Linked DNA regions of Alligator mississippiensis. The protein of the gene in region 1 purifies or fractionates together with the protein of each later gene. This does not show direct contact. Links are inferred from orthologs where the notes say so. Each region holds a gene or a part of one and is shown on either strand. Other genes may lie near its edges. The genes, in order: DCAF7, FAM53C, TROAP and TCP1.

Region 1 (7,125 bases):
TAACACTGCCTCTGTGTGCAGCTACCATAGATGTAAGGAGCAAGGGCAGGACAGCATGTAGTTTGAATGCTTTAAAACTACTTCAAATCTGAAAGGCAGAACAGCCTAAAAGCAGACAGATGGGACTACTACAGGCTACAAGAACCCTTGGAGGATCCCAGTCTTAGGGAATAGAGATGGCATAACACCAGCTTTGTTCCCCAAACCACAAACTTATTTTTGGTACTTCTCAGCAGCCAGACCACAAAATGTGGCCAGTACTCTTAAGCAATCCAATCTAGTCCAATAACTGCTGGGGTTTATTATATTAGGTCTTCTAATTACAGTAACAATATTTACAATAGACTGCAACCTCATAGCATACATAGCCTGACTTTTTAATCAATGCCTTGATCTCTTAATGAAATGCATCACCATTGTAACCTCTCAGGTTTGACGCCAAGAAGGTATGACACAACAGCATCTAGTCAATGAATACATATCAGGTGAGGACACAGTGTTGGTACAGCAGAGAGTCCAACAGTCAGCATCAGTCAACTTATCACAGAAATACTGGTATCTCAGGTGCCACAGCCTGGAAACTTGGTAAAAGTTGGCTTTTAGTGGCTACCGCTATACTCATCTTTCAAGGAGGGCATCAGTTTATCCTTTGTCCTGTAAAGTTTTAACATTCAGAGTCAAATTATCCACTGCACAGAGTTTTCAAAATGAAAAGCATTTTTTTGCCCTTCCAAAATAGGTTTTATTTAAGCCTTTTTAAATGAGTAAGAATTCACCTTTAGAATGAAATGAGGCTCAAAATTTTCAGATCAGGAAAAGAATTTTTGGAGGAAGTTGATTGCATAGGGTTTTAAATGAAAGTATGTTCCAACTGGAACTACATTAGTTATGGTGACAGACAGCCAGAAACTAACTTCTCTGGGCCCAACAATGAGCAATTAAGCAGCCCTGTTAAGCTTCACTAGCTTCTGTCAAACAGTGAGACACAAGTTGGTTTTTACCCTCCCACCATATGCTGGTAAACAGTGAAACCTAAATACTTCTGCCTGAAAGTGTACCACTGGTTATTACAAGTAACGCCTACTACTATAATTGAAAGGAAAAAAAAAGAAAATTTCACTTTCAGTCCATTTGACACCACTCAGTGTATTTGTTTTATCCTGCTTACACGGTTCTTTCACAACAAATGGGATATTTAAGCAAAACAGGAACTAATGGAAGATGGTAGCACCATAGGCTATTTTGAAAATTATTAATTAAAAATTACTCTGCTCCCAGAGGATCTCCCCCCATAAAACTCCCCACTTGTAGGAAAAGAACATCATGAAGCCAAACTGTCAACTAAACTCTGTGCTGGTCAGAAGTAAATTAACCATCAGTGAATAAATTAACTTAGAAAGTACTTTATATAATGCTGTACAGACAATAACTTAATGATTTTAAGTGAAGTCACACCATGACTGAAGAATTCAGTCTATACACCACATTCAACATAGTCTGTAACAGGGACGTCCATCTGTCTCCAAGTTCCCTCCCCACCTCCACTCTTTAGCTGCCAGCGAGTGGAGCAGCGCTGAGAGCAGGTCCTGGGCTATGCAGGGAAGAAGAGGGTGGGAGGATCAGGACCCCAACCAAAGTGGGATTGAGCATAAGCAACAGCTGGGGAAATCACCCATGTTGTGGAACACAGGAGGGAAAGGGAGGTGAAGTCATGTGCCCATACTTGAGTGGTACCGGGGTTGTGGGGGTGGGACACTGCCTGTGGTGGGCTTGCAGTACAGTGGGAGTGGTGGGGAGGTGAAGAGCATCTAGATGCATGTCACGCTCAGTGCAGCCTGTGGCCCCCAGCGGTGCAGCCCTCGGGGGCTCAGAATTTGTACAGCCCTGCTCTATAATATTTATTCCTTTATTTCATCTCTAGCATCACATTTTTCCCATAGGATGGGGAGCTCCTGGGGTCTGCACAGAGTGGACTGAACCAGGGCCTGCAGAAGTGATTAGCTAGGGTGAGCCTGGAAGATGAGACTTCCGACTTGTATTCAGTGTGGATAAACAGGAGAAGCAGCCCACCCTGCCAGGGACAGATAGTGAGGACTCACTTCCCTGAGGAAGCCAAGGGAGCAGAGGGAGACCTGGAAAGTCAACAAGGGACCTGCAAACGTGAAAACTTTTATCCCTGCATGAAGCTTTCCCACTGGAATGAAATCTCGCAAAAGCCTACAAGGGGGAGCCACAAGAGTTGTGCTCCACAGCTTGCCAAGGCTGCCCGGGTGGTGCAGCAGTGCGCTAGGAAGCCCACAGCCGGGCATGTGCCACGCCAGAGCCTTTCCACCCAAGCCCCTTGAAGCAGCATGGCCCTGCTGCCTCCCAGGTCGGGAGGCTCCTTTAACACCTAGGCCTTTTCCCAGGAGCCTCCAGCCTTGCTCTGGAGCCACAAGCAGCAGCTTCTGGTCTCAAACTGCAGCAAGGGAAGTTGAGTTTGGATATTAGAAAGACTCTCTCACTAGGAGGGCAGTGAAGCACTGAACAGGCTACCAGAGGAGCTGTGGACTCTCTCCATCCTTGGAGGCTTTTAAGGCCCCACTTGGCACAGCCTGGGCCAGGATGATGTAGCCGGGGCCGCTCCTGCACTAGGCGGCTCCCGAGGTCCCCTCCACCCCCCGTCTCCGCGGCGCAGCCCGGGGGCCCAAGGGGGGAGGGAGGGCGGGCCCAGCCCACCTTGTTGTTGTACTCCTCCACGAAGCTGCCCAGCGCCAGGCGGAAGCGCTTGTCGGGCCGGACGCTCCAGTTCATGGCGTACACGGTCCAGGGCGCCTCGTACTTGTAGATCTCCTTCCGCTTCCCGTGCAGCGACATGGCGAGGCGCGGCGAGCGGGACCGGGCCGGGCCGGGCCGCGCGCGGAGCGAGGCGGGGGCTCGCGGGCCGGCCGGAGCGCGGCGCCACGCGGGCCCGAGGCAGGCGGCGGCGGTAGCCGCGGGCGGGCGGCGGGCTCCGGGCCCCGAGCACCGGTGTCCAGCCCCGGAGACAGCGAGCGCCGCGGAGGCCGTTTGAGATTCGGCCGCTCACACAACAGGAGCGGAAACCACGCGGGGCGCCCCGCCCGTTGGAGACCGGTTGGCTGCGCCGCCCGTCACTCCGAGGTGGGGGCGGCCATTGGGCAAGCCGCCTGCCAGTCACAAGCCCGCCGTGTCCCTATTGGCCGTTTTAACTTCCATTCTGAGCAGGAGCTCGCTGCATTGGGAGAGTTCCCTGCCGCTCCTCTTCGGCCCGCCCCAGGCGCGCGGGATGCGCGTTCTCAACATCTCATTGGTTGCAGCGGGGCGCAGTGGCCAGGCCCCTCCGCGAGGCGGGTCGCGCAGGCATGCTGCCACCCTATTGGCTAGCGGACGTGTCCGTTCGGGGTGAGCTGTCGGGCGGCGGGGAGCCCTGAGTCGGCGCTTCGAGGCGGGCTGGAGTGTCGGATCGAATCCCGCTCCCCGCGCCGGCCTGGGCTTCGCACGGCAGGCTCCGGCCCTTCAGCGGGAAAAAAGCCCCGCCCCCGTTGAGGCGCTGCAGTAAGGGCCGGGCTGCCGCTTCCCAGAGCGGGTCCTGGCAAAGCCACCACTTTTGTCCCTGGCTGCAGCGGAGGGTCACTGCGGAAGGAACGGGAGCTTGTGTGATGCTCAGGCCCAAAAAGCCTGCCCCACATTCGGGGGTAGCCCAAGGGCCTGGCTTGCGGGGACGGGGGCCTTTTAGCAAGGCCAGCACAGCCCTGGAGACGAAGCGGGAGGGGAGGCGCTTGCTCAGAGAAAAGCCTGGTGAGCGTGGAGCCAGTCTCCAAAGGCCCACTGCACACTTGGCACCAGTGCCACCAGCCAGCATTCTCCACCTCCGCGTCCAAAATCCCTTGCAGTTGTGCTGCAGCTGTGCGGCACGTCACTCGAGTCAGGACTGTTCCCAGGAGCAGGCCGAGGCACGGGGGCCCTCCACCCTGGTCTGCTTGGCTCCCAGCGTGACCGTGTGAAAGCTACTTTCCTCCCCCTGCCTCAATTGCCCATCTGTAAACCAGGGATGGGACAGCTCTGACTATCACCACTTTGTCCAGTCTGTCAGATATAGGAGATTGGGAACAGTGCTGCAGTAACTGTGTTGGGCTAGGTAACACTTGGGAAGCAAGGTTTGGTAATAAAAAATTCAATCTGTTCCCCCACCCCCAGGCTTAGTTGGCTAACACCATATTTTCTGCAACCTAGTTGTGTTCCCCTCCTCACCCCCATCCCTCTAATGTTAGTCCCTTGCTCGGGCGATTTGTATTTCCCTACTGGCTTTGTCATCTTTTTGGATTCACAATCCTAAACATTGCTAATAAAATTCAATCTGTATTAGGCCAACTGTGCAATTGGGAAGAGGTGTTTGTCAGCTTTTGGGCCCAACGTGCCTTTACTTGGGTCAGTTTCCTCAATACATTTTGTGCCCAGAACTTAATTAATGTCTCTCCCAGCTATTTGCCTAGTCCAAGAAAAGATATCACCAAATACGTCCTGCTTCCATCACACAGGTTATGAGTGCCACATTTCAACTTTTTTTCCTGTGCTAAAGAAAACGGGGCTTTGATCCTTGAGTGAGGTCCTTCGGTATTACTATAACAACAATAACCGTAGCAATGAACTGTTCGGCACTTGTAGAGGGTACATCCTGTGCTGAATGATTTACAAATGCCTTGTCACTCTAAGACACCCAACCAACAGCTTGCAACCTAGAACATTATCATTAAGCTCATCTTGCATGTGATGATATTGAGACACAGGGTGAGAACAGTTGCAGGGGCAGGACCATGCCCCATCGGGGACTGCACTAGGCATTCTGAATTCCCCAGTGGTATTTTCCCTGGTGGATTCTGCAGTACCATGTGCAGGAGGTGACCATATCACTGGATGGGACAACACACACATACAGCAGGAATCCACAGGGGCAGGTACTGGGACAACTAGACTGTGAGCAGTGCCTTCCCACAAGCAATTCACTTTGCTGCAGTGCTGCTTTGAGCAAGGACATCTTTATTATTTGGGTTTTGCTCGCTTGTCTTTGACTGAGACAAAAGTTCATGGAAGTTCTTAGAGGTAGACAAGGAGTCAACAAAGCAGTATTTTCTATATGTACTTAGTGGTGATTAAAAAGCAGCACCCCTGTCTCTCATCTCTTTAAAGAGCAAGGAATCACCAGACTGGATTAGTGCAGGGTACATGTAACTCAGCATCGTGTCTCCAGCACATCTGTCTATTCCAGAGGAAGGTGCAGGGAGCTCTGAGGTGGATAATTCTGGAGTAACCTCAACTCATGGGTGGTTGGCTTCTGCCCTGAAGTGTGAGGCTTTATTATCCTTCTTACTTCTTTAATCCTCTCTAACTCAATCCTGGATGCTCTCAGGATTCATATAAATCTCAAATCCCTTTTTGAATCCTCCCACACTTCTGCCAGTTCAGACTAGCCTTCTGTGTGTGGCATGTTGGCTATGAGCAGGACAGATCCGGTGAGAATGCTGACGTGGATTAAAGACACTGCCATATAGGATCTGCAGAAGCTCCATTGCCTTTTGGATCTCCAGGCTGAGGCTGGAGCCCTGTGGGGGGAAATGCCTCTGCCTGGAATGTCCCTGCTGCAGAAAGCTGATACCGACATTCTCCTGAAGTATAAATAGCTGCATCACTGGAGCATGTGTGTAGCCAGAGATAAGGATATGAGGCCCAAGCCAGACACAAAACAGCAACAGGTGCTGGAGAACTCCTTTGCAGCCAGGAGTTGCAGGGTCCAGCATTTGTAGTTGTTTCAGGCACAGGCATTAACTGCAAGGGGCCTACAGGACAGGTTTTGATTTCCTGCCATCCTGTCCTGAAGGGAAGGTGAGATGCTCTTCCATTCTGCTGATTCCTCCCTGCCTGACAAGGAATCCTGCCTGGCTCCTCCAGACTCTAAAGAAGAGTAAATTGTCTTTCAGGAGCAACCAATTTGTACCAGGCTGTAAATTGGTTGGTGGGCCTGCTCCCATGCAGGCAGGCTTTGTCCCCTTTGGAACTCCTCAGCCAGTCCAAACAATAGCCCATAAAACAAACTGTAACCCTTAATCCAAACAAATGAGCAAAACAAATCTTCAGCCTTTCTCCAGGCAGCAAAAGAGGCCATCTTAGCTCTGGCCCTTCCTAGAAGCAATCTCCACTGGGGTTTAGTCTGCCTCCTGGCCACAGACTGCTCCTTCTCCAGTTTGAGCTCCTTGCTCTCTCTCCACTTGGGCTTTTAACTGCTAGTTCCATAGTTTCTAGGGTCAGCAGGGACCTGAACAGATCTTCAAGTCTGACCCCCTGCCCTGTAGATCCCATGGCACATGAGGTTTGCTGCCTGCCTGGAACTCGGATTTGGAACGTCACGGCAATGATCCCAGACCTCATCCAGCCCTCTGATCACTACCCCTTGGTCCTCATCCATGTGGGCACTAATGATGTGGCCAGGAGTAGTTCGGACCATGTCATGAGAGACTACAAGGCTCTGGGAGCCAAGCTTAGGGAGACGGAAGCACAGGTGGTTTTCTCATCTGTTCTTCCAGTGAGCAGATGCGGATGGCACCACAAGGCCTGCATCGGAGAGGTCAACCGGTTGCTTCAGAGCTGGTGTTACCGGGTGGGCTTCGGATTCTTCGACTATGACCCTGCACTTCCATGCAGGAGACATGCTAGGGCGGGACGGGCTACATCTCTCCCCAAAAGGTAAGCGTGTTTTCTCTTCCAGGTTGGCTGATCTCGTACGGTGAGCTTTAAACTAGGTTCATTGAGGGATGGGGATGCAGAGGTGCAGGAGGACACTTCGATGTCAAGCCAGGTGACACGAGCAGGAACAACCCAGGTAAGTGACAAGGGCCCGGGCAAGCTTGGGAACAAGAGGGCAGCATAAACATCCATAGGAGGTCTCAATTGCCTCTACACAAATGCTAGAAGTATGGGGAATAAGCAGGAGGAACACACCCTCCTGCTAGCTAGCAAAAACCCAAACCTGGTTGGGCTTACAGAAACCTGGTGAGATTCTACTCATGACAGGGCAGTAGACATCGAGGGCTATAGGTTGTATAGATGAGATAGAGTAGGGAGAAAAGGAGG
Region 2 (7,383 bases), on another chromosome or scaffold:
CCAGATTCTGGTGTCAACCCGAGTAAGAAATAACACCAAATCCAACACAGCTGGCACCCGCGCATCAGCCTCTGTGCAAACATCACCTGTCCAGGTCCAGCAGGTGCTAGACCTGGAAGAGGCAGGTACTGCAGACACCCAACCGCTGCGGGACGAGCAGCCGCTCTAGGCTCTTTAGGAACTCGTGCATTGTCCGCGCTCAGCAGGAGCTGTCCAGATGGGGACAACACCCGAACGGCACGGACACGCTGACAAGCGAGTCAACAGCCGTTTCTGACAGCATCCCAGCCACACGTGCCGAACGGGCTGGACCGTCCCCTGAATGGGCAGGCGGGCACAGCAGCGAACCAACAATACTACCATCTCTGTTCCTCGGCTAACCGCTTAGATGGGCAGGGGTTGTGTTGAAATGAGATTCAAGTAGGAGGACAAGGACTCGGCAGCTGAAAAGCCACAGGCCAACGCTAAAATCAGCGCAGCTGGAAGGTTTGTAAGACAGGACAGCCGAGGCAGAGACAGATCCACTTCAGCGCGCTCTGCGCAAAGGGAGAGCCCTGGGCCAATCGACCCACTGCGAACACGCAAAGAATAGCTGTGCTTCAAACTGCCGCGCAGTGCCGCCACCGCCCAGACTCCCAGCGTCGTGAAACAGGCTGGGCGCGACACGGTCCGAGCCAGCAGAGCCCTAGCCGCTGCCCGGCCAGAGGCAAGGACGGCTCGCGGGACGGGACAGGACGTCCGCCCGGCCCGACCCAGCACTCCTGACCCGGGCACAAGACACGCCCGCCACCGCTCGCAGCGGACGAGGAGCCTCGGGAGGGACAGGCCCCGCTCGCAGCACGGCGCAGGCTGCCGCGCAGAGACCGCCGGCCCCGCAGCAGCGAGCAGCCAGGACACTTACGGCCCCTGCCCGCGTCCCGGCGCGTCCGTCCGGCCTGCAACTGAAGAGACACAAGTAGGCGACACCCGCAGCGAGCGGCCGCGCCGGGCACGAGCCACAGCGAGGCGAAGGCGGCCGGCACCAGGGCGGGCCCGGGCAGCTGGGAACGCCCGGCAGCCCCGGCCCCCGCCGCGGCCCAGCGCGCATCCTCGCGGTCCGCCGCGCCGCCACGAGCGCCGGGCGGCGGGGCAGGGGCCGGGGGGCGGCGGCGCCTACCAGGCTCGGGCCCGCCCGGGGACGGCGCGAAGCGGAAGACGGTCATCTCCTCGCCGGCGCTGAGGTCGGACAGGTCCAGGCAGCAGCGCGGCGTGGCCCTGCGGGGAGAACGCGCGAGCGGCTCAGGGCCGGGCCGGGCCGGGCCCCACGGGAGGCGGCGGCCCGCGCGGAGGCCGGCGAAGCGGCGCTCACCCGGGCGAGGCGCGGAGGCCCCGGGCGAGGTCCGGCGAGAAGGGCAGCGAGAGGTCGGCGTCCCGCAGCAGCCCCAGCACCATGCGGCAGCCGGCGCGCAGCCCCAGGCGCGACCCGCCCCGCCCCGGCGAGCGCCGCCCCGACATGGCCCGCGGAGAGACCCCGCGCCGCCCACTTGAATGTAAATAGAACCCGCCCCCCGGCCCTGCCGCCCCGCCCCCCGGCCAATCAGCGCGCTGCTCTCCGCCCCTCACCAATCAGCGCGCTGCTGGGGGCGGGGGAAAACAAACCCCAGAGCCGCTCTCCGATTGGCTCGCTGCGCTGCCCGCTATTGGAGCCCGGGCGGGCAGGGCTATTGCCATTGGGGGCTTCCGCCGGCGGGCGGGGCTTCGGGCGGCCAATGGCCGCACGCGGGCGCACGTGGAGCTTGTCGACGCCGCACGTGGGCGTGGCGCAGGCGCCAAGAGGCGGCGCGGGCCGGGCCTGGCCGGGTCGGGCGGTGTCGTACATGCTGCCCGTCGCCTCCTCCCGGCCCGCGGCGGGGCGCAGGTACGGCCGCCCCGCCCCGCTCCCCGCGGCTCTGCCGGTGCCCAGCCCGGGGTCTCGGTCCCGGTCCCGGCCGCGGCTGTGGCACAGGCTCCCGCCCGCCGCGTCCGGGAAGGCAGCGGGGCTCGGCGCAGGGAGACCCGGGCGCTGCCCGCCTGGCGGGGGTCTCCGCGCCGACCCTTGCGGCCCCCGGGGGGCGCGGCATGCCCGCCCGCGGAAAGGCGGCGCCGGGGCGGGCGGGGGAGCGGCGGCGGGCTCGGGTGCCGGCAGGCGGCTGTGGGGGGCGCCGGTCCCCCGCAGAGACTGGGGCGGGGCGGGAGCGGCGGGCTGGGTGAGGCAGTTGCGCGGTGTGACGGGTGCGGCTGCGCGTCCGTGCGCCCCGCACAGCCCGGAGCGCCCCGTGCGCGGAGCAGCGGCTCGCCGCGCCCGTAGCTGCGAAGCGTCCGCTCCGATGCCCGCAGGAAGGGAAGGGAGGGAGCGGTTCCTCCGCAGGTCGCCCGGGCTGTGACGCCAGCTCCGGGTGTGCGCCGAGCCCTGTCCGCACCCAGCAGCGGTGCCGTTGCGCGGCGCCCTTGAAAGGACCTGGTGCGCGTGGAGGGATCCCGCGCGCCCCTGGCAGACCTCCGTGCTTCGGGCCTGAGCTCCCGCGGAGCCGGGGCTCCGTCCCCCGGGGGCCCCGTGGCGCAGCTCCGGTTCCGCGTCCCGGACCCAGCGGTTGACTTGGGGGAACGCGGCGCGGCGCCTCCGTCGGTGACACAAGCCCCCTGGACGCTGCGGGGTGCCGCTGAGCAAGCTCTTCTCCCCCGGAGCAGGCCCGTGTCCTCCGAGCCCGTTTCTTTCCGAGTTCGCATGGTCAGCGTCGGGGTCGGCACGTGGCCCAGCCCAGCGCAAGGAGCCGGCTCGGGATGCAGGTGTGGTGGTCTCTGCCAGGGACGTGGCTTGTCCAGGCTCGGGTCTCGGGTCTCCGGTGCTGACTGGGTTCCTGTTCCCCAGATCTGACATCGAGACGGATGAGAGCACCCTGCAGCGTAGGCAGAAGCAAATTGATTATGGGAAGAACACCCTGGGCTACCAGCGCTTTCTGCAGCAGGTTCCCAAGTGAGGGCTCTTTGTCTTTCACCTCCTCTCCCCGTGCGGGCCTGCTGGCTCTGGCCACAGGCCCTCGGCACAGGGGAGACGTCAGAGCTTGCTCCAGAGCAGGGGCTCCCAAGCTGCACCCCTGGGGTGTGCAAGACATGTGAGGGGTACCTGAGAGAAACTGGGTAATGGCAACTTGAATTTCCATTATAATAATAATAATAGGCGTGAAAGGGGCAGCTGGCAGATCTGGGAGGGGGCACGCAATAAGACAGTCTGGGAGCCCTGGCTCTGGAGCGCCTCTTCCTCCTCGCTGACCCTGCCGACGGGCAAGTTGCTCTTCCTGCCCCAGGGGACGGCGGGGCCGTTCTTGTCCTGTTCCCGCTAGGATAAGGGGTCTTGTCCCGAGGTGGGAGGATCTGGCCCTTCCTCATGACGAATGCGATGCTGTATTTGTAGGTCCACTCGGCAGGCAGAGGTCCACCCTCAGACCCCAAACAAGTACAAGAAGTACAGCCGCCGCTCCTGGGACATGCAGATCCGGCTGTGGAGACGGGCCTTGCACGCGTGGGACCCGCCCAGCCAGCATCCTCTCCAGTGCCACCAAGGACTTGAGAGGGAAGTGTCTGCCAGGTGTTTGGCTCCTCCAGAGCCTTCCAGGGGGAGTGCTCGTGCGGCAGGGTGACGGGGCAGCTTGTGCCCACGCTGGGCTGGATGGTGGTCTCCTTAGTGCCGCCTCAAAACGCTCGCTGAGTGCGGCTGCCCTTACACCTGCCCGTGCAGATGGCTCGAGACGGTCAGTGAATGGGGCGTTAACGTGCCCAGGCCTCCAGTTGTCAGGGGCCCACTGAGACTTGGCGCCTTATGATACTGGGCAGCGGGTGCTTTGCACCTCTGGAAGGAGAGGGGCTATGCAAAGAAATCGTGTCGTGCACAGTGTTGGGGACGCGTTCGCACGTCTTGACGTGCACCATGTGCCGTGGAAACTGGTTCCCTGCGTTGTGTGGAGTTACCCGGGCATCTCCGGTGCTGCTGGGGAGGGGGGCAGAGCTGGGGAACGGGCCTTCGGTTGCTGGGTCTGATTAGAGAGCAAAGACTGGGTGCAGTGTCCCACGTGGCTGTGCATCGGTGTGTTCTGGGGAGCAATCCTGCCCACCGTGGCTGGGGCTCAAGGGAGAGAGACTGCTGTGCCTCCCCGCAGCTCTGAGCCCTGGTGTGCCCCAGCACTTGCTGCTGCTGCCTCTCTCTTTGGGGTCAGTGACTGGAACTGCTGTTTCCTTGCAAGACAGGGCCTGGCAGCTCTCTGCAGCGCTGGAGATGGAGACAGACCCTTTGTGTTGCCTCTCTGATCACTGGCTGGGAGCCTTGGCTTGGCCTCCCCAGAGCCTGTCCAGAGCAGCACTAGGAGAGGTAGGCGGGGGATGCTGGTGGGGTGCGGGGGTCCACGGGGCAGGAGGCTTTCTGCGGAGGGATGGTGGGGCTGAGCAGGGGGCGCTGGGGGCGGGGAAGAGTGGTGGAAGGGATCAGCGGGCCTCGCTCGGGGCCTGGCCTTGTGCCTCTCTCTTGGATTGCTTTCCTGTTCCCGTCGGGCTCACGCTGGTTCCCCCTCGCTCAGCTGGCGGCTCTGGGCCCCTCGTCTCCTTGCCTGCCCCCCGAGGAGGATCCCGGCAGGCTGCACGTCCGGGGAGACGCTGCTTGTGGCTGGGGCCGCGTGTCCGGGGCGTGCGGCGCACCCCGTCTTCCGCAGCCGGCTCGGTGGGGGCCGCCGGAGCCGGAGCCTGCGCCCTGACGCAGCTGCTGCCCGGGCTCCTGGCCCCGGGGAGCGGCGGGAGCGCGCTCCTGGCCCGGGGGGGCGGGCCCTTGCCTTGCCCCCGGGCCGAGGGGACGCGGGCCGCCGGCCGGGGTGAGCGCCGGGCCGCCCGCTCGGGCGCAGGGAGGCGGCGGGGCCCTGCCGCGGGCGGGCGGGCGGGCGGGCGGGGGCCGGGCCGGGGTGAGGGCGGCGGTGCTGCGGGCCCCGGGGCCGGGGCGGGCGCGGCGATGGCGATGGCGGCGGCGCGGACTACACTTCCCAGGGTGCCCGGGCCGCGCGGGCGCTGCGGGCTCGGCCGGGCCCGGGTGCGGGGAGCCCGAGCCGGCGGCGCCCGCGCGCCCGAGCCGGGCGCTGGACGAGGTGGGAGCGGGCCCGGGTGCCGGGCGCCGGGGCCCCGCTTGCCCGGGGCTGGTGGCCGGAGGCTCGGCGGGGCGCTGTCGGGCGGCGCGGGGCAGGGACCCCGGCGTGGTGTCGCAGGGGCGGCGGCGGGGATGGCGCGCGCGGAGCCCCGGCCGGGCGGGCCCAGGAGCGGCGCGGCGGGCGCTGCCCCGGCCCGGCCCTGCTGAGCGGCGCGGCGCGGCGCGGCGCGGCGGGCCTGGCTCGCGGGAGCCATGGTGCCGCTGGTGGCGGAGCAGCTGCAGACGCGGGCGCTGGAGGAGCCGACACGCGCGTCCTTCGGCATCCGCCCGGTAAGAGGTTTCCCGAGCGCGCCGAGCAGGCTCAGGCCCCGCGGGACATGGGGCCGACATCGTGCTGGCGCTCCGGGGCGGGCGGCGGGAGCCGGCAGGGCCGTGCGGGGTGGCGGGTCGCGCCCGGAGCTGCGGGGGAAGCTTGCCGCAAACCAGGCGGGTCCGGCCGGCGCCGGGCGCTGCGGGGTCCCTGGGCGTCCCGCGGCGCGAGCTCGGGCCGGGGCCGGGGCCGGGGCCGGGCCGGGGCTGTTGTCTGCGCTGTGGCGGTGGCTGCTGGGCGATGGGCGATGGCCGTGCCTGGTGGGGCTCAGAGGCGTCTCCTTGGAGGAGCGCTTTGTGACCCCCCTGGGATAGGGACGGAGTTTCTTCGGGGAGGGGGAGCCCCTGCATCCTCCCTACGGGGGTGGCCTTTTTGTAACGATCCGGATCTGGTTTTTCTCCCAAACAAATTAAGCACGCTGAGATGCTCTTGCACCCTGGCAAGGGTCTCTTACAGGTCGGGCAGCCTCTGCTCCCTCGCTGCTCCCAGTCACCCCTTCGGTTGTTGCCTTTGGGGTGTAACTGCAGTCGCCACCTTTGCTGCTGTTCGCATTTTCTTAAGCAGCAGCATGAACCCAGCCCAGCTGGGATCGCAGTTGGCCATAGGTCTGCTGCCCCGTCCCTGTGGCCGGAGCAGGACAGACGGGGGCGTGGGAGCCGCGGGCTCCAGAGAGAGGAGCAACAGCAGCACGTGCTGGAGTCAACAAGTTGCTCTGTGTAATGTCACTCTGCTGGGGCAGCTAACTTGCAATCGGAGCGGTTGAGCGGCCATCAGTTCCAGGACTGCTCCTGTCCTTGCCCTTGCCCTTGCCCTTGCCTTGCTTCAGGCTCCCGTCGCCTTCCACAGAGGAGCTGCGATGCGCTCCTGCCTCCTGCCCGGCGCTCAGGCCTAGGGGGTTGCATTGGTAAATCTTCTCTCTCCCCAGGCCCCGATCCTACCCTTGCTCCTCCTCCCAGCTGAGTTTGTATCCTGCTGTGCCAGCCCAGCAATGAAGCAGCATTGGGAATCAGAAGGTGGACTTAATTAATTACTAAGGAGTAAACTGTGATTTAAACCGTCAGTCTTAACTTTGTTTTGTGTTTGTGCTGTTAGTCTTTCTTTAGAAAAGTAGCTCATTTTAATTGGAGGGTAACAATTTAAAAACACATTGATCTGCAACTAAATGTAGCTCTTACACTGAAGTTGGTATTCTTTGCTAGCCAGGAAGATGCGCAAAATCTGTATGCGATTTTTCTAAGCAATTATATATCTTAACCTGCACTTATTCAAATTCTTAATTTTTGATAGTTCTACATTTATGTTAGAAATGATAAATTATGCATTTCCTTGTTAGTCTTCTTTCTTGTGGCTTATATCAACTTGAATGGAAATGAAAATACATGAAATTCCATTTAAAACGCTGCTTTTTTATTAGCCAATTAAAACTGCCTTAAATATACTGGGTATATACACTTTTATTTTTTTTTGTTTAAAACAAATTTTACGTTTAAAAGAGAACCCAACGTATTAAACAGAGGAAGCATGAACTGTAGTGAGTGAATTGACCAATTTGTTTCTGGTCACCCTGTGACAGATAAGTTCTCAGCGGCATTTTCAAAGGCAGGCATCTTGGGCAGGCCAGTAGGTGCAGAAATCCATGAGAGGTATGTCCTAATGTGTTTAGGATTTTCAAAAGCAGCTATTAGGTAGTTCTCTGCATTTTAGGTATATAAATACCATGTCCTTCAAGTTGTTGCGAACAGTAGATCTCATTGTGTCCCACCTGGATTCCCTTCTTGCCTTGGAAGAGAACTAGTTTTCCTGCTCTTTCAATCCCGACCCGACCCGAGGGAGGGCTCTTTGTGCCCAATAGCTTGTCTCGCCACAGTTGCCC
Region 3 (7,968 bases), on another chromosome or scaffold:
ACCAGGCACTCACCCAGGGCTGGGCTGTCTCACGGGGGTCGCTGCCTCCCACGTCAGGGCTGCAGGGCTGCCCAGCTCCACACCTGCCTGGGGTCTGTGGAGGGGGTCCCGTCAGCTGAAACCCCTAGTCCTGCTCCATCTCCCACCCCCCCCACAGCTGAGCCTGGGAGAGCTCAGACCATGCCCCCAGAGCAGAAGCAGCATCAGACAGAGGGTCAAAGCCCCCCACCCACAAAATGGGGACAGGGCACCCCCATCCTCAGAACCCTCCAGTCAGGAGCCCCCCCCAGATGTGCACCCACCTGTTCCACGTGTAGCTGGTGCCTGTCCCCCATCTCCCTGGCACAGGCGGGGTTGGGCTGGGGAGAGAGCATGGTGAGACGTGGGGAGCATGGAGCCTCTGGCCCCTGCTTGGCCTGTGGAGAGGACCCAGGCATCTGTGGGGTCTTCCCCCATCCCATTTTGAGAAGGCCCCGGGGGCATCCTTCCCACCCAGGGCAGCAAGCAAGAAGCCATGCAGACCCTCCCCTCCCCGGTCCACCCACCCAGCCCGAGCTCCTGCTCCCACCCAGCTGGACGCACCGGGGACTGGGGCTGCGTCACTGGCGTGTGGCTGAACGGGGAGGAGTGGACGTCGGATGTGTGGGGTACCCGGGGGAGACCTGAGGGAGAAGAAGCGTAAGAGCAGGACGCCATGGGGGCGAGAGGCATTGAGCCCACACCCAGCCTAGGCCCCGCCATCTCTACCTTCCTGGCCCATGGTGGAGAGGCAGGACAACCGAGCAGAGTGACCCCTTGTGGGGATGCCCTCGTGGGTGCCAAGCAGAGAGGCCGTGCTGCCCTGGGGGGGGAAGAAGGCAGCATCAGCTCCTGGCCTTGAGAAGGGGTGGGAGCTGGCACTGCCTCCCGGCCTTGCAGCTGTGCGGGGGGCCTGGACAGCCCCCTCCCCCAGAACAGCAAGCAAACAGCCATGCAGACACCCCCCCCACCCTGATCCTCCTAACACACAAGCCCCTGCCGCCACCTGCCATGCGCACCGTGGGCAGGGGCGTCATCGCGGGCACTTGGCCAGACGGAGAGGCATGGGTGCCAGGTGCGTCTGCACACACTGTGGACTGGAGTTTCCTCGCCAGCACCCGGCCGAAGGGAGAGGGGTGAGCGCCAGGTGTTGCCTTCTTCACCGGCACCCGGCCAAAGGGGGAGGGGGCTGCCCATGCCTCCAGACCTGGGGGAGAAGGAGCGTGAGGGCAGGTGTCCAGGTGCTGAGCCCACCCGGCCCCGGGCAGGGTCCTGCCAGCCCTACCTTCCTGTCCTGTGGCAGAGAGGCAGGACCCACGAGCAGAGTCACGCCGTGGGGGGACGCTCCCACGGGTGCTCAGCGACAAGGCCCTGCTGCCCTGGGGGGAGAAGAGATGTCAGCCCCGTCTGCAAGAAGGGACCTCCCACCCCCTTGAGGATGCAGTTGCCTGCAGCCACCGCCTACGCTGGGGGCCCAGCCCAGCCGCCCACCAGAATCCCCCGGGCCGATGCCTCTGCCCCTCCAAGCAGCAAACTGGGTTGGGGGACGACCCCAGTAGCCTGCGTGTGCCGGGGAGTGGAGCAGGAGGCTGCACGGAGGAGGCCTGTCCCTCCTGTCCCATCCCCTCTCCACCCCGAGGACCCAAGGACCTTGCATCTCAGCCCAGAGCAGGAAGGGCGTGCAGGCCTGTTTGCACACACACGGACAGGCCTTCAGGAAGGGGAAACCGAGGCAGGACAGAGAAACCAGGAACAGAATCTCATTTCCAGCTTCTAAAGGCACCCCCCACCCGCTCAAACCACTAGACCACACTGTCCTCCCCCAGCCTCTAGGATCCCAGGCACCTCCCTACAGCCACCAAGCTTCACCCCAGACGCCATGACCCCGTGCCCGCGGGGCAGCATGGGCTCAGGGGACTCTGGCAGGGACTTACCTTTGTGTTGCCCTGGGCCAGGAGGGAGTTGCTCCTGCTGCCTCTCAGGGGGATGCGACGTGCCAGGCTGGGCTTCCCGCCCGGGCCCAGGACAGGGCTGCACAGCCTCACGTTGGAGAGGATGCCGGCCAGCGCCGCCGGGTCAGCCACGAACTCCACCGCACTGGCATCTGCCGGAGGGAGCACAAGGGAGGGCTCAGGCCCACCGCCCCTGCCAGGCCTGGAGCTGGCATTGCTGGCACGCAGCGGGGAAGCAAGAGCAACGACCCTACGTGTGGGTCCTGGGGTGGCTCCGGGCAGGCGCAGCTCCATGCACGGAGCAGGGGACTGGGGGCAGCCCCAGAAACACGACATCAACCCCCCCGCCCGACCTGCCCACACTGGGGCCGACGGCCCCACACCCTGCTTAGCCTGGGTGGCGGCACCCGGGGTGCCAGGGTAGCATCCTGCCCCGATACCTTTGCTGGCGGCGCTGCTCTCGGGCACCTTCTTCTGCCCCCCCGCCCCCAGCTGGATCTCCTCCAGGGGGGCCCGGGGCCGGCTCCTCCACCAGCCCGCGGGGCCGGGGCTGGGCTGCGTCCTCGGGGCCTTGCCCTGCGGGGCAGACACGGTCACGCGGGGACAGGCGCTGCCCCGCGTCTCGGCTCCCGGGCCGGGGGGCTGCTCCCGGGCACTCACCTGGCCGCCGGGCCCGGGGCTGGCGCTGGGGCCCGGGCCGTTCTCGCGGCCCCGCGGGGAGCGGGGGTCTCTCCGCGCCGCCAGGGCTCCGGGACTCGCGGCTGCAGGGACAGACCCGGTGAGCCCCACTGCGCGGTCGCGAGCACCCGCGGGAGGAAGCGGAGGCGGCTGCAGCTCCGGGTCCCGGCCGGCTCCACGCGCGACCGGGACCCACGCACGCACCGGGGACACCCCCGCCACATGGAGGCCCCGCCCCTGGAGAACCCCTCCCACGGGCGACGCACCTGCCCGCGTGAATTCCGCCCCAGCCGCGCGCCCGCTGATTGGGCAGCGCCCGCCGGTTCATAAAACAGCAACCGGCTCTCATTGGCCCGCGCGGGGGCGGGGACGGGCGCAGAGCGAGCCAATAGGGAGCGAAGAACGGGGCGAAGGGGGGGGATTCGTGGGTTTCCCTCCGGGGGAGGGGTGATCTCGCGAGATTTCACTTAGCGCATGGAGGGCGGGAACACCTGGCGTGTCAGTGACGTCATTGCGATCTAGCCCCGACCCCGGGGGGAGAAGGAAGAGACTGGGGGCGCGCTCCTTGGGTCCGAGTCGTTCCGTGCCTCAGTTTACCCAGCTATAAAATGGGTCCCTTTCTTCCAGGGCAGGGACAGAGGCAGAAATCCAACGGGCCGGGGGAGCGGGGTGGGCCTCAGTTTACCCGGCTATAAAATAAGTTCTCTTCCTTCGGGGGAACAAGAGAGGCAGAAATCCAATGGGCGGGGGGGGCTCAGTTTACTCGGCTATAAAGTAGGTCCGCTCCTTCCAGGGGAAAGAGACAGGCAGAAATCCAGCGGTGGAGGGAAGGAGGGGGCTCATGGGGACAGCTAACTAATTCTGGCAAAGGCGGGGTTGAACCGGCAGACCCCCCAGCCCGACACAACGGCAGGCACTGGGCTGCCCCCTACCGCCCTCGCGGGTGGGATCCCGTCTCCCCCCCGCCCCGTTCCAGGAGCTGTACAAGCCCCATCCTGCCCAGCCCAGGTCACCTCCCCCAGACAGAAACAAAGACCCCAGGCCTGCCCAGACCCCCCAGGGCTGGGTGAGACCCCCCGGAGTCCTCAGCACCCCCCCCCCCCCGCTGCCAGGGCACCCTCCAGTCACATGGCCCAGTCTGTTGCACTTGGCCCCACTGGCCCAGAGCACAGAGGGGAGGGCGGTCATTAAGTAAACCGTAATTAAACTATAATTAAACTGTAAGTTGGAATGGCAGGTTGCTTCCACGCCCCGGCTCACAGGATGCCACAACCACCATGGGCTGCAGCCCCAGTGTCCCCAGGACTGTGGTAACACTGGAGTCACCGCCTTGCCTCCCCCCCAGCCCCGGTGCCACAAGGGGGACACAGCAGAGCAGAGCTCCTCACTAGGCTCTTTATTGGCTGGACAAGCGGATACACAGCGGGGGTCCGTCGCTGTTCAGGCAGGTCGGGGAAGACCCAGGAGCACCACAGCAACTCCTGCAGCAGGTGTGGGGGGGGTCCCCCAGGGCTGGAGGGGAAGGGGTGCAGCTGGCCGAGTGGCCCCAGTCACATCCCCCTGGTTTGGTCCAGAGCAGACCGAGGCAGAGGGAGGGGATGCTGAGGCAGAGGCACCGAGTGTAACAGAGGGGGAGCAGAGCACAGAACAGGGGGAGCTGCAGAGAAAAGAGCCAGGGTCAGGGAATGGCCCAGACTCGTGCCAGATGGATGCCACCACCCCGAGCCCTCTGGCCTAGGTGAACCCTGGGCCTGGGGCACAGCTTTGCAGCTGGGCCTGGCTGCAGGAGGCAGAGATGGGTGCTGGGGCAAGTCCATGCTGGAAGCAGGGAGACGGGCCATAGTATAAAAATGGGGCAGCTTTGGTATCAGCCCTTCGGGCCGGGTGGGACCCTGGCTCTGGGCAGGAAGCACTCGCTATAGGCACCACACTTGAACAGCAGCAGCGCCGGCACCCGCCTCCGTGGGGGGCCCAGGCAGCGCCAGGCCCAGGACACAGCCCTGCAGGCGCCAGCTGGTCCTGGATCCTGGTGTCAGCCTCCACCAGTGCCAGGCTCTGCCCCCCTCCCCGTGCCAGTGGTGTTGGTGAGGCAGGTCCTGATGCTTCAGAAGAAGGTGGAGGCCCCCTGGAGGAGGCAGGGGAAGGGGAAGCTGGGTGGGGGCAGGGCAGGGCAGGACTCCTAGGTCCCTCCCTGCCAGCAGCCCCTACCCAGGGGGGTTATTGCTCTGCTCTCCCGTCCCCGAGCACCATGGGCCGGTGGAAGTTGGGTGTGCGGGGGTGCCGGGGCTCAGAGGTATCAGTAGTCGTGTAAGGCCGGTGCGGCGTGGGGGAGTGGGGGGCGGGCTGCAGTGGGGGGCTGCGCGGAGCCTGGTGCTGGGGTCACTTCTCTGACTCCGCTCTCTGCTCCTTCTGCGACTCCGTCACCACCTGCCAAGGAGCAAGGGGTCAGACCCGGTGTCCCTCTGTGCCAGGCTGGGGCCTGCCCATGTGGCAGCTTGAGGGGGAAGCAACGCCCCCAGGAGAGCTGGGATGGAGCCCAGGCATCCAGCGGACCCTGCTCTAGCCATTAGGTCATGCGTCCCCAGGCCTGAGTGAAACCCAGGAGTCCTGGCTCCTGCCAGGGCCAGGAGAGAACGCAGGTGTCCCTTCTCCCACCCTGTACCTGCCCCCAAGTCCAGCCAATGTTGGGCTGGGCCCAGTCCCAGGTGGAGGCTGCGCTGGGCAGTGGGGGGGCATTCACCTCTCCATCCCGGGTCTCAATCGTTTTGATCAGAACCATTTTTCTGGTGTGTGTCTCCACCACTGGCACCGGCTCTGGCTCTGGCACTGGTGGGCAGAGGGGACCATCAGGGAGGTCTCCAAGTCCTTCCTCTCCCTTTGCCCTCCAGGCCTCAGGCATGCAAGGTCCTGGGTGCACAGGGGGCAGAGATGCCCGGGGACAAGGCACACAAGACTGTGCCCTCCCCCCGTCCCTCCCACAGCACTGAGGGCATGGACTCACCTGAGCTTTTCATGGTGAAGGAGGGCATCAGCTGCATGGGCACAGTGATCCTGGGGGACAGACAGGGTGGTGAGCATGTGCCCGGGCCTTGCCCCACTGCCCACCCTGGTGCAGCGCCTACCTGCTCTCCTCGCCCTCCAGCAGCTTGCGGTAGGTGGCGATCTCGATGTCCAGCGCCATCTTGACGTTGAGCAGGTCCTGGTACTCACGCAGGTGCCGCGCCATCTCCTCCTTCATGTGCTGGATCTCCTGCTCCAGCCTCCTCACCGTGTCCTGGTAGCTGCTGATCTCCGCCCCACACTGCTCCTCAAGCTCCCGCATCTGCCGCAGCAGCGCTTCGTTCTGGGGGGTGCAAGAGGTGGGGGGAGGTGAGCTCACAGTCCCCGAGGCCCAGGATGACTGGCTTCAGACTGAGCCCCCCCCCCCGGCATGCTGCACAAGGCAGGTGGCAGGGGGTGCTGTCCTAGCGCCCGGGCACCCTGCTGTGGGGTGCAATGCACCCCAGGGACTCACGGTTCCTTTGAGGCCGTCCACCTCGCAGGTCAGGCTCTGGATCTGCCTCCGGGACTCGTTCATCTCCTGCTTGGCCATGCGCAGTGCCTCGTGGTTCCGGTTGGCTGCGTCTGACAGGTCAGCGAACTGAGGGGTGGGGATGGCACCATCAGGGCAGGGGTCAGGAGCTGTGTCAGGGCCTTGTACCCGCTACCCTAGCACAGGCCTCGGCCTGGGGCAGCTTCCAGGGTGCTGACCTTGGACTTGTACCACTCCTCGGCCTCCTGCAGGTTCTTCACTGCGATGCTCTCGTACTGGGTGCGGATCTCCCGCAGTGCAGCCGTCAGGTCCGGCTTGACCTGCTCCATCTCCACTTGCACTTGCTGGCTCTGGGCACTCTCCTGCATGTCACGCAGCTCCTGCCCGTGCCCACCACAAGCGCCAGGACAGAGCAGAGCATCAGGCAGACCCCCGGGAACGCTGCACCACCGGCCCCCTCCCCTAAAGAGGCTGCTCAGCCTGCCTCCCCCACCCTCTTGCGGCCCGCGGGCACCTGCAGTTCTGTGCATTAGCACCAGGTGGCGCAAAGGCATCTCGGCTGCAAAGTGTGCAGGGGGGATTCCCTGCAGACCACCCGGGCCAGGTCACAGCTTGCTCAACTCCTGGGGTCCCCAGCGTGCCCCCCCCAAGTCAGCACCCCCTAGACTTGCCCCTCCATCTCCAGAGTCAGTGCCCCATAGACCTGCCACCCTCCTCCCGATTCCCAGGTCCGCACTCCCAGGGCTACCCCGCCCTCCAGGCCAGCACCCCTGCCTGCCTCCCCCATTCCCAGAGTCAGCACCTCCCTGGCCTGTCCTCCCCATCCCCAGATCAGCACCCCCCCCCCATCCTCAGGTCAGCACACCTCACCTGCCCCCCCATCCCCAGATCCGCACCCCCGGGCCTGCCCCCATCCTTAAGTCCTCACCCCCCACCTGCCCCCCCATCCCCAGGTCCGCACCCCCCACCTCCTCATGCAGCTTCTTCAGGAACTCGATCTCATCCATCAGTGACTCGATCCTGCGCTCCAGCTCCAGGCGCGACAGCGTGGCGTCATCCACGTCCTGCGTGGAGGGGGGGGGGGTTTCAGAGCAGCCCGGGCTGCAGATCACCTTCCCCCCCCAGCTCCATTGGGCTGCTCCGGGGCAGCAGGACACGAGTGTGCTCACGCGTGTCCTTGCGCCCTCAGCTGGGCGGGGGGGGGGGGGGGGGTCTGGGGCGTGTGTGGCCGGCGGGGACGAGCCGGGACTCGGCGGAGCCGCTGGGCCAGATATGTGCACACGCGTGTCCGAGATCGCGCGTGGGACCTGGCTTCCCCCGCCCCACCCCATGGACCCCCTCTTAGCCCTGCACCTTCCGGAACAGCACCAGGTTGTTCTCCGCCTCCTCCCGCTTGTGGGTCTCGTTCTCCAGCCTGCGAGGAGGGGAGCGGAGGGGTCAGACCGGAGATGCGGGCAGCCCCTGCCCTGGGGACCCCCCGGGCCTCGCCCGTTCCCTCCCCGCCTCCCACGTGCCCCATTGCCCGCCCCCCCCTCCCTCCGGGCTCAGTGGGGCAGAAAGGCGGGGCAGCAGGGGAAAGCACCCCCACCCCCTTTGGATACAGGGGGGCCTCAAAGGTGCCCAAGGCAGGAGGAATCGGGCGGCCCCGCCCGGCAGCCCCCGGGCATGGAGGGGAGGGGGGACACACAAGCCCCGGCTCCTGCCACACGCCCCTCCCTGCCCCCCACCGCTGCAGTGACCCGCCCCTGCGGCTGCGGGATGGAGATGCAGCCCCCACCCAGCCGGCTC
Region 4 (7,879 bases), on another chromosome or scaffold:
TCCAACATGGTTATGTTTAATGGCCATTCAAAGTGGTCTGAGACACATGAATAGGCCCTTCTAGACAAATTTGCATTCTAAAAGGAGAGGACTGTGGCAAATAACACCTGGCTATTCAGGGAAGGACATTAAGTTGGAAAATTAAGTAAGATTCAGGATTCTTAGGATATTAGATTCACAGTCTTTATGTCTGAAAGCCATCTCTGGATCTGGTAAACAGATATACCCTTGTGGAGCAGGAATTCAAATGCATAGTATGAACTCCAAGAATTCAATGGATAATACATAAATGGCCAGATAAGAAACCGTACTTAAACCTTGCCACAGGAGCAAGTGTTTGTCTAAAATTTTCCAGGCATAAGGTGCTTTGGTCCTTCAGCTAGTGGGGTGAGTGTGATAGGCTGACAAGAGAATTTGCAGAAAACCCTGACAAGAAGGTCAGAGGCAATGGCTGCTTTCTAATCTGTTGAGCTAATAAGTGGAAGTTATATTCTTAGAGTTTAGGATAAGAGAAAATCATTGTTCTGATATTTCCATTTGTCTGTATCTCAACAAATGGTCCTTGATTTCTTATGACTGCTTTTGTCTTTATAATAAATCCTCTGTTATCTCTTATGACATACTTGTCAGTGACAAGTGTAATTTCAGAGCCTTTGACCAAAAAGGAAGTCCCCATCTAAGGAGGGGAGGAGGCTTTTATTTCTCAGCATATGACCAGACCAGGGTTTGATACGCTAGCTGGCACAATCCCTTCTGCTAAATGCTGGCAAGACACAGGTAAAGCTGAGGCACCATCGGTTAGCAAGGTGACCTTTGGAACGTCTCAGTGTATTCTCAGTGGTCAAGCAGCAAATGACAGAGCAAAGTTTTCAGTCTTTCTCCAGGCAGCAGGTGAGGACCCTTTTAGCTCTGGCTCTTCCTAGAAGCAAGCTCCTTTGGCTTCCAGTCTGCCTCCTGACCACAAACTACTTCTTCCCCAGCTCAGGCTGCTTGCTCTCTCTTCTCCTGAGCTTTGAACTAGCAGCTGATCGCCTGCAGCTGGGCTCCTACTTCAGAGCTGCCCATCCCACTTAAAGGGCCAGACTGCCCTGCTATATTCCTGTCTACAATCTCTTCTGCTCCTCACACATACGCTTTTTCTGTGTTGGAAAAGAAGGTCACCCACTGCACATCTCTTCCAGCTCAAAGTGAGTGCTGACCTCTCAGAGCCCTCTCTAACTTTCCATTTTAAACTTTTGCATACCTACACACTTCGCTGTTTTGGAAAGGAGGGCCCGTGGACACAAATATCTGACCCACCTGCCCTTTACATTTGCACATTTTACCATCAAGCAGTAAAAGCAGGCCTACTAACAGTAAACCTGGGTGTGAGTAGGCTCAAACCTTCAATTATAGATACTAAAAAAATACATAGTGGCTGTGTGTACATGAGATGCTGACTGTGCAGTAGCATCACATGGCAGGAAGCATTACACGATGCTACTGTGCAGTAGTGACAAGATTCTGCGCAGTCACCTAAAAGCCATTTGGCAATGCTACTGAGCAGTAACTCCAGTTAGTACACAGTTATTTAGTGCTTGTTTATACAAGCACTAAATGACTGTGTAGTAATGACTGCACAGTCAGCATCTTGTGTAGACACAGCCAGTGACCATAACAGAGAATGCATAACGTTAGCAGGGTTACATATCTAACTGAAATCTTAGTATTTTCTTACAGTGGAGATAAATTCACGGGAGAAGTGCATACTTTGAGCTAGGGTAAATTAAAATGCAATTATAATTGCATTTTTTATATAAATAAAGTTTCTGTTTGTCTGTACATGCAGATTATGACACAAAAAATGAATGCAAACATATAAACCAAAATGGGCTAACTTGTCCATGTTCTTTTCAGTTTTCAGTCTAGTATGGCCATGTTCATATGTAGTAGAAAAAAGTCTGATTCTTAAAAGTGCTGAACATTGTTTAACTTCTTTTGAACATAATGGAAGCTGGTGGTGTTCAGTGCCTTGCAGGGCTGAGCCCTACATTAAAAAAAATGTCATTAATTCATTCATAGCAGACTGGCTGTGAGGACAAGGAACACAGGCATGAACCTTTCTGGTCTAGGTTGCTGATCTGAATCTACCCCAGGCCAACAGGAGAAGGAGCTTATATGTCTGTGGATACTGAAGTTTTCTTTTGTGCTTTCTCCTGGAGTTTAAGCATGCTGTGCAGGCATCAATGCCGCAGTCGCTTAATTTATTGATGAGGATGGGGTGAGAGACAGTGAGATTAGGGTGTTACCAGATTGGGTAATTCATCACTAAGCACCCTAAAGAGAAATCCGCTCCAGAGCACAGATGTTCTATATCTTCAGACACGAACCAGGTGTCTCAAGCTGGGCATTGTTACAAGGCAATCACAGACAAGAGAAAATTCACATCTCTTGCTATGCAAGTTGTCTGTTAGTAACCCTAAAGCAGATGGAAAGTACCCCATAGTATCTTTAACAAGACTATGCCTCTGCATATCTGAAACAGGAAAAGTCACAGAATCCATGATGAGAGGTCACTTAGGGTCAGTCTCAACCAACTTGAGCCACATGTGCCACCCTTCCTCATCTGTATCTTACCTTGCAGCCTACACCAAAGCCATCCAAAGTATGTTTCCTGTCCTTCAAGCAGATCCCCTTGTAGATATCAGTCTGCAAATTACCATATTTTTCTTGCATGTAACATACACCCCTTTTCCAAGATTCAGCTGCTGGGAATTAGAGTCTGTCATAAACAGGGAAATAATGCCTCTACCTGAGGAAAGTGAAATAACACTGCATATCGGACAGCACAGCGGGGCTCCATAGCTGCTGGCTGTGGACACTTTCTCCCTAGCCGAGGCTCGTGCTGCAGAAGCTGCTACTCCAGGGGTGGGCAAAATGCGGCCCGCCAGGCCATTCTATCCGGCCCATGGAGCCCCTAAAAAATTTAGAAAATTTAATATTAACCTGCCCTGGACTGCCTGTCATGCAGCCCTTGATGGCTTGCTGAAACTCAGTAAGCGTCCCTCTGCCCAAAATAATTGCCTGCCCCTGTGCTACTCAGTAACTTACTATTTCAAGGAAAGCTATTTTTCCTTCCTTCTACTTTTCAACAAGGTACATATTTTATTTTGAGGCATGCTATGTGCAAGAAAATATGGTACTTGTTTCTCCTGCACATCTTGTCTCCAATTATAGACAAGATTTGAGGACAGAAAGGCTGAAAGTTAGGAAGAAGCAGCTTGAAAACAGCCACTGGAGGGACTCCTGTGCTTGTGGCCTACAGCATCTGGGCAATCTCCAAACATACTGCAGGGAGAGGTACACTGCAAGGCAGGCCTTTCCTCATATCCTGAAGTTCAGCAGAATGTTTGGGGCTGGGTGGACTGTGGCTAGCCACGGAGCTTAGGACAGCGATTCTCAACCCGCTCATTAGGCTCAAGGCATCCCTTGGAAAATGCCAGTTCTGAGCTCTCTAGGCTTTTTAAATTACAAAAACAAGACAGAATAGTTTTTCTGTTGCAAAGAACTCAGAAAGACCACAATGGGGCAGAATGTTTTTTTAACCTTAGGGCTTATCTGAAATCTGTTTCAGTCTTGCAAATCACGTCCACACACCTAGCAGTGCTAACATGGCTTGGCACCCCGCAGCACCCTTCAAAGGCTCTCAAGGCACCCAAGTTAGGAATCACCAGCCTAGGCTATGTTGACCCTAATTACCTGCATACACAAAGCCTAAGTTTGAGGGGGCCTCTGGTCCAACAGTTTTACTACGAGCACTTCCTGAGTACCACTGGAGATCTCAGATTTAAAAAAATGCTCCGGTTCTTAAACTCACTTATTGCCAAACAAGTCCACAACTCACCTACGCCAAAACTCTCTGCTGGGCCAAGTGGTTTCCCAGCCGCGCTCCTTCCTGGCGAGCGCCAACTGCTCCAGGTTCCGAGGGTTCCGGTTGGCGAAATCCGGGGCGACAACCTCGTTTTCACTTGTGTCCGCCTCCGCACCGGCAACTTCGAAGCTGGCTTTAGCAGATGTGAAACGAAGACCTTGCGGGGAAGCAAAAAGAAGAGACAAGGAAAAATAAGTTAGAAATATTAGAACTACTTCAGCCAATGGCCTCGCCTGTAAGATGTCAGCGACTCTGCGCGTCGTGGGTAAAGTCTAAACAGAACTCAAGCGATCGTAAGACTAGTTCCCTGCCCAACGGAACCCCCTACGCGGAAGCCCCATCCCCGGCACCTTCGCTGGCCCCACGGAGCCTGGCGGCGGCAGCGACACTCAACAACAGCGACCGGACACGGCTCCGCAGCGCCATAGCGGCGACAGCGGCAAAATGCGGCCGCCCGCACCAAGCTGCCTCCTGGGCTGAGCCTAGACTCTTACTAAGGGGAATGATCCGCTGCCCCGGAAACAGAAAGGACGTGAACTTCCGCCCCAGTAGCCGGGTTGCCTTCCGGGAAGCCTCGCTCTCGAGCCAGGGGGCGGGGCCAATCGGCTGCCGCCTTCTAGAACGTCCTGGAAGCCCAGCGCTGCACTCGCCCTGAGCCCCGCCCATGTCCTTCGAATCCCCGTGACGCCCGCACTCGCGTCTCCCCGCCGGCTTCAGCATCCAATCAGCGCCTGCAGCCCAGGCAGCGCTCGCCGGGCGTTATGAGGAGCTCCCGGATTGGGGCAACAGCCGTTTGACGTTACTGCCCTTCCAGACAGCCATTGGCTGCTTCCTCTCCTCTTCTCCTTCACAGTTCCCGGCGTGCCCTACGCTTCATCTCGCGGCTGCCGGCGTGGTGCGGGCGGGACCATGGCGGCGCTGGAGGGGCCCCTGGCCGTGCTAGGCGAGCGCAGCTCCGGCGATGCAGTCCGCAGCCAGAACGGTAACGGCTGCGGGGCGGAGCCAACCGCCGCCTGCCGGGGGGGAGGGGCCGCGCGGCTCCGGGGTCCCCTCGCTTCCGGGGTGGGGGCAGCGTTTGTCAGGTCTTAAATATGAAATTATCTTATTAGAAACTCAGAATTCCTGTATTTGCTGAAAAAAATATTGTACACTGGGCAATATACAAGTCAACATGCAAGGAGGAGGTGGTTGTCTCATTTACTCGATATTGCTCATTGGGAGTCGCTCCTGAGCAAGACCTGGGTCATCCAAGTGGAAGCGTTTCTTCATTTTGAGGCAAGGAGTGATAAGGAAGCACCCACGGCCGGCCCGAAAGGCAATTGAGGCTCCCTGAGTGTGAATTGGGGTTTGCATATGCTGCGTGTATGAGCTGCCTCAAAAACAATTGTAGGTTTTGAGCGCTTTTACTATTGTTAATTTTGCAGGGGTTGAACTTGAAGTAAATACAATAATTACCGTACAGCTAGTGATGCTAGTGGGGCAGGCTTTGGCCAGGCCCGTGCATGGAGCTGTTCGGGATGGGCAGTTATTTCTCTTCCATAAATAGAATTGAATTATCAGGGGGCGTGTTGAATTCACCACCCTCTCCCACTGCGACCAGGTCACAGGGGGCTCAAAAGGCCTAACATCTACCCCCGGTGCCTCCATGTTCCCCCTCCCCCTTATTTGTTCCCCCTCCCACGTGTACCTGCACCCCCTGGTCCCACCCATCCCTCTGCCAGCCTTTCTGGCTACCCAGGGAGCAGCTCTAGCCCTGTCTTGAACCCCTGCCACAATGGCCACTGCCTGGCTGGGTGGAGGCTGGAGCCCCCACGTGCTCCAGGCCAGATTGAGCCTGGAGCCGCAGCAGAAGATAAATGGCTGGGGCGCAGGGGCTGCTGGGGGAAGCATTCTGACCCCACACCTGGGTTGAAGTCGGAGCAGCCACCTACCCCTCACCCTTGCCTCCTACTTGAACCCAAGACAAGGGCTTTTTTCCCCGCCCCCATGTTGAATGGGGGAAAACTTTTCCTTGAATTCCATATTTGAAACAAGTTGTTACCAGAGCTGTGCACAAATGCACTGAAATGGGATTTCTTCTTGAAGTAAAAACTGAGATTAGAAACAGGAGATGGAGAAAAGTCATTCAAGATTTATTTCTTGATGACTCAGTTTCCACTAGTGTTCTTGTAGCGCCCCTAGATCGGGGTGGGCAAAATACGGCCCATGTGCCAGATCCGGCCCGCTAGGCCATCTACCCAGCCCGCAGGGCCCCTAAAAATTTAGAAAATTAATATTTATCTGTCCTTGGTTCCTGTCAAAAATGACAGGAGCCAGGAACAGTAGGACCCAGAGGAAGCCCTGGCAGGCTCCTGCAACAGCAGGGCCTGCCCGGCCTCAGCGGGGGCTTCTGGCCTGGGACCAGGTGGCTCCTCCAGCACAGGAAGCTTGGGTAAGAAAAGGTGGGTGGGGGGCATGAGCTGGTGCTGAGTGGGGGGGGGGGAGAGTGGCCCTGCCCCATGGCCTGTGCTCCCTGCTGCAGCCACTTGCAGCTTGCGCAGGGCTGTCCTGAGCAGACACGGGGCAGGGGAGGGGCTGCTTTTCCCCATGCTCAGTACCAGCTTGTAACCCGCCCCCGCTGCCAGCCCAGGCCCCATGCTGGCTCTGGGCTTGTCCGTTGGGGCTTTGCCACGGTGGCAGCAGCTGCAGCTCCCCTGCTTGCCATGCTGGGCAGTGTTTGCTGCTGCTGCCCGCCCAGAGCTCACACCACAGTAGGTTGCATTGAGGCTACCTCCACTGCCTCTGGGCTGCCCAGCAGGCTGTGAGCAGCTGCAGCAGGGAGCGTGGGCCACAGGGTGGGGGAGGGGCTGCTTTTCCCTGTGCTCAGCACCAGCTCATTTCCTGCCGACAAGCGCGGGGTCGGGGTTGCATGCTGCCCCCTGCTTGTACCGTAGGGCTCAGGGGGCACTGAGAGTGAGTGGGCATGGGAGCCAGTGGGAACACAGGGCCCACATTGGTGTCCTGGGGCCAGCACCAGCAGGGCCCAGAGCAGGGCTCCCTTCTCTCCCTGCTCGTGCAGGCCAGCCTGGCTCCACAGACCCCTGCATGACCCTGAAACATTGGTCCCAAGATATTGGGACATTGGTCCCAAGATGGTGATCAGGGGGCAGGGCACCTATAAAGGGGCGGGGCACCTGCCAAGGGGTGGAGCTACCCATGTGGCCCTGGACAGCTTGCCAAAACTGGGTAAGCGGCCCTCCACCCAAAATAATTGCCCGCCCCTGAGCTGGATCTCTCCCTGAAGGTAACCTGTCTGCCACATTCACTATTAAATAAAGTGAATTCACATTAATAAGAAATTTGGTACCGTCAGGTAAATACCAGTAGCAAGAACAGCTCTTTGTATGCACTGATTACAAAAAAATAGGAAGGGGTTTAGTACTTTTAGAATTCTAAAGGAAAGATCAGATTTGAACACTTCCCATTTGACTGCCACTTCCTCGATTTACAGATTAAGTGGCTATGCTTATGGGATAGAAAAAAAAGTGCCAGAGTCTGAAGGAAAAGATAGTTAATATCTCTTTCCTATATGAGAGAGCAGAACATTATACAATAAGACTTTGAATAATAAGTAAATTACATGCATTTAGTACATTTACAGTTGTGGGTTGATTAACTGTATTAGGCAAAAACAACGCTTAGTCCTGAAGCCAAACGAGGTGTCTTCGTGGTGTCCATTCAAATTGTGCAAATGGATTTGTCGTGGATCCTTATATTGTCACCCCAGTCATTTTCATTTCCCCAGTCAAATAGGCCCTGAAAAAGCACATGTGCCAAAAGTAGACAAAAATTATTTATATTCCAGACTTTTAAAACGGGGACTATACTTACAGGAATGTGGGCTTTAGAATTGGCTATTTGTGAAGAGTTACCTAATTACTTGCTGTTCTGTTTTTTACAGTTACAGCTGCAGCTACCATTGCTAACATT

What was found.
Region 2: the proteins of DCAF7 (region 1) and FAM53C purify together in Homo sapiens (affinity purification with mass spectrometry; 3 studies listed by BioGRID and IntAct, counting the BioPlex papers as one, with this or other methods). This does not show direct contact. The link is inferred for Alligator mississippiensis from reciprocal best matches to the Homo sapiens genes DCAF7 and FAM53C.
Region 3: the proteins of DCAF7 (region 1) and TROAP purify together in Homo sapiens (affinity purification with mass spectrometry; 3 studies listed by BioGRID and IntAct, counting the BioPlex papers as one, with this or other methods). This does not show direct contact. The link is inferred for Alligator mississippiensis from reciprocal best matches to the Homo sapiens genes DCAF7 and TROAP.
Region 4: the proteins of DCAF7 (region 1) and TCP1 purify together in Homo sapiens (affinity purification with mass spectrometry; 3 studies listed by BioGRID and IntAct, counting the BioPlex papers as one, with this or other methods). This does not show direct contact. The link is inferred for Alligator mississippiensis from reciprocal best matches to the Homo sapiens genes DCAF7 and TCP1.

What each region holds. Positions count from the first base shown.
Region 1 is NC_081827.1:158,478,689-158,485,813, reverse strand, and holds the start of DCAF7 (DDB1- and CUL4-associated factor 7), read right to left. Parts: upstream 3,066-7,125; 5' UTR 2,857-3,065; coding exon 2,719-2,856; intron 1-2,718. UniProt on the Homo sapiens protein: Involved in craniofacial development. Acts upstream of the EDN1 pathway and is required for formation of the upper jaw equivalent, the palatoquadrate. The activity required for EDN1 pathway function differs between the first and second arches.
Region 2 is NC_081832.1:79,616,997-79,624,379, forward strand, and holds the start of FAM53C (protein FAM53C), read left to right. Parts: upstream 1-4,290; 5' UTR 4,291-4,381; intron 4,382-5,082; exon of another isoform or gene 5,083-5,470; intron 5,471-6,435; 5' UTR 6,436-7,383. Other genes in the region: CDC25C (M-phase inducer phosphatase 3), read right to left, coding at 902-941, 1,157-1,254, 1,349-1,494.
Region 3 is NC_081838.1:6,717,209-6,725,176, reverse strand, and holds the start of TROAP (tastin), read right to left. Parts: upstream 3,161-7,968; coding exon 3,156-3,160; intron 2,950-3,155; coding exon 2,631-2,949; intron 2,547-2,630; coding exon 2,411-2,546; intron 2,123-2,410; coding exon 1,953-2,122; intron 1,398-1,952; coding exon 1,304-1,397; intron 1,226-1,303; coding exon 1,038-1,225; intron 842-1,037; coding exon 748-841; intron 663-747; coding exon 583-662; intron 360-582; coding exon 303-359; intron 95-302; coding exon 14-94; intron 1-13. Other genes in the region: PRPH (peripherin), read right to left, coding at 4,945-5,075, 5,650-5,699, 5,771-5,991, 6,163-6,288, 6,399-6,560, 7,149-7,244, 7,534-7,594. UniProt on the Homo sapiens protein: Could be involved with bystin and trophinin in a cell adhesion molecule complex that mediates an initial attachment of the blastocyst to uterine epithelial cells at the time of the embryo implantation.
Region 4 is NC_081824.1:137,785,695-137,793,573, reverse strand, and holds the start of TCP1 (T-complex protein 1 subunit alpha), read left to right. Parts: upstream 1-4,754; 5' UTR 4,755-4,819; coding exon 4,820-4,892; intron 4,893-7,366; exon of another isoform or gene 7,367-7,501; intron 7,502-7,850; coding exon 7,851-7,879. Other genes in the region: MRPL18 (large ribosomal subunit protein uL18m), read right to left, coding at 3,884-4,067, 4,405-4,630. UniProt on the Homo sapiens protein: Component of the chaperonin-containing T-complex (TRiC), a molecular chaperone complex that assists the folding of actin, tubulin and other proteins upon ATP hydrolysis.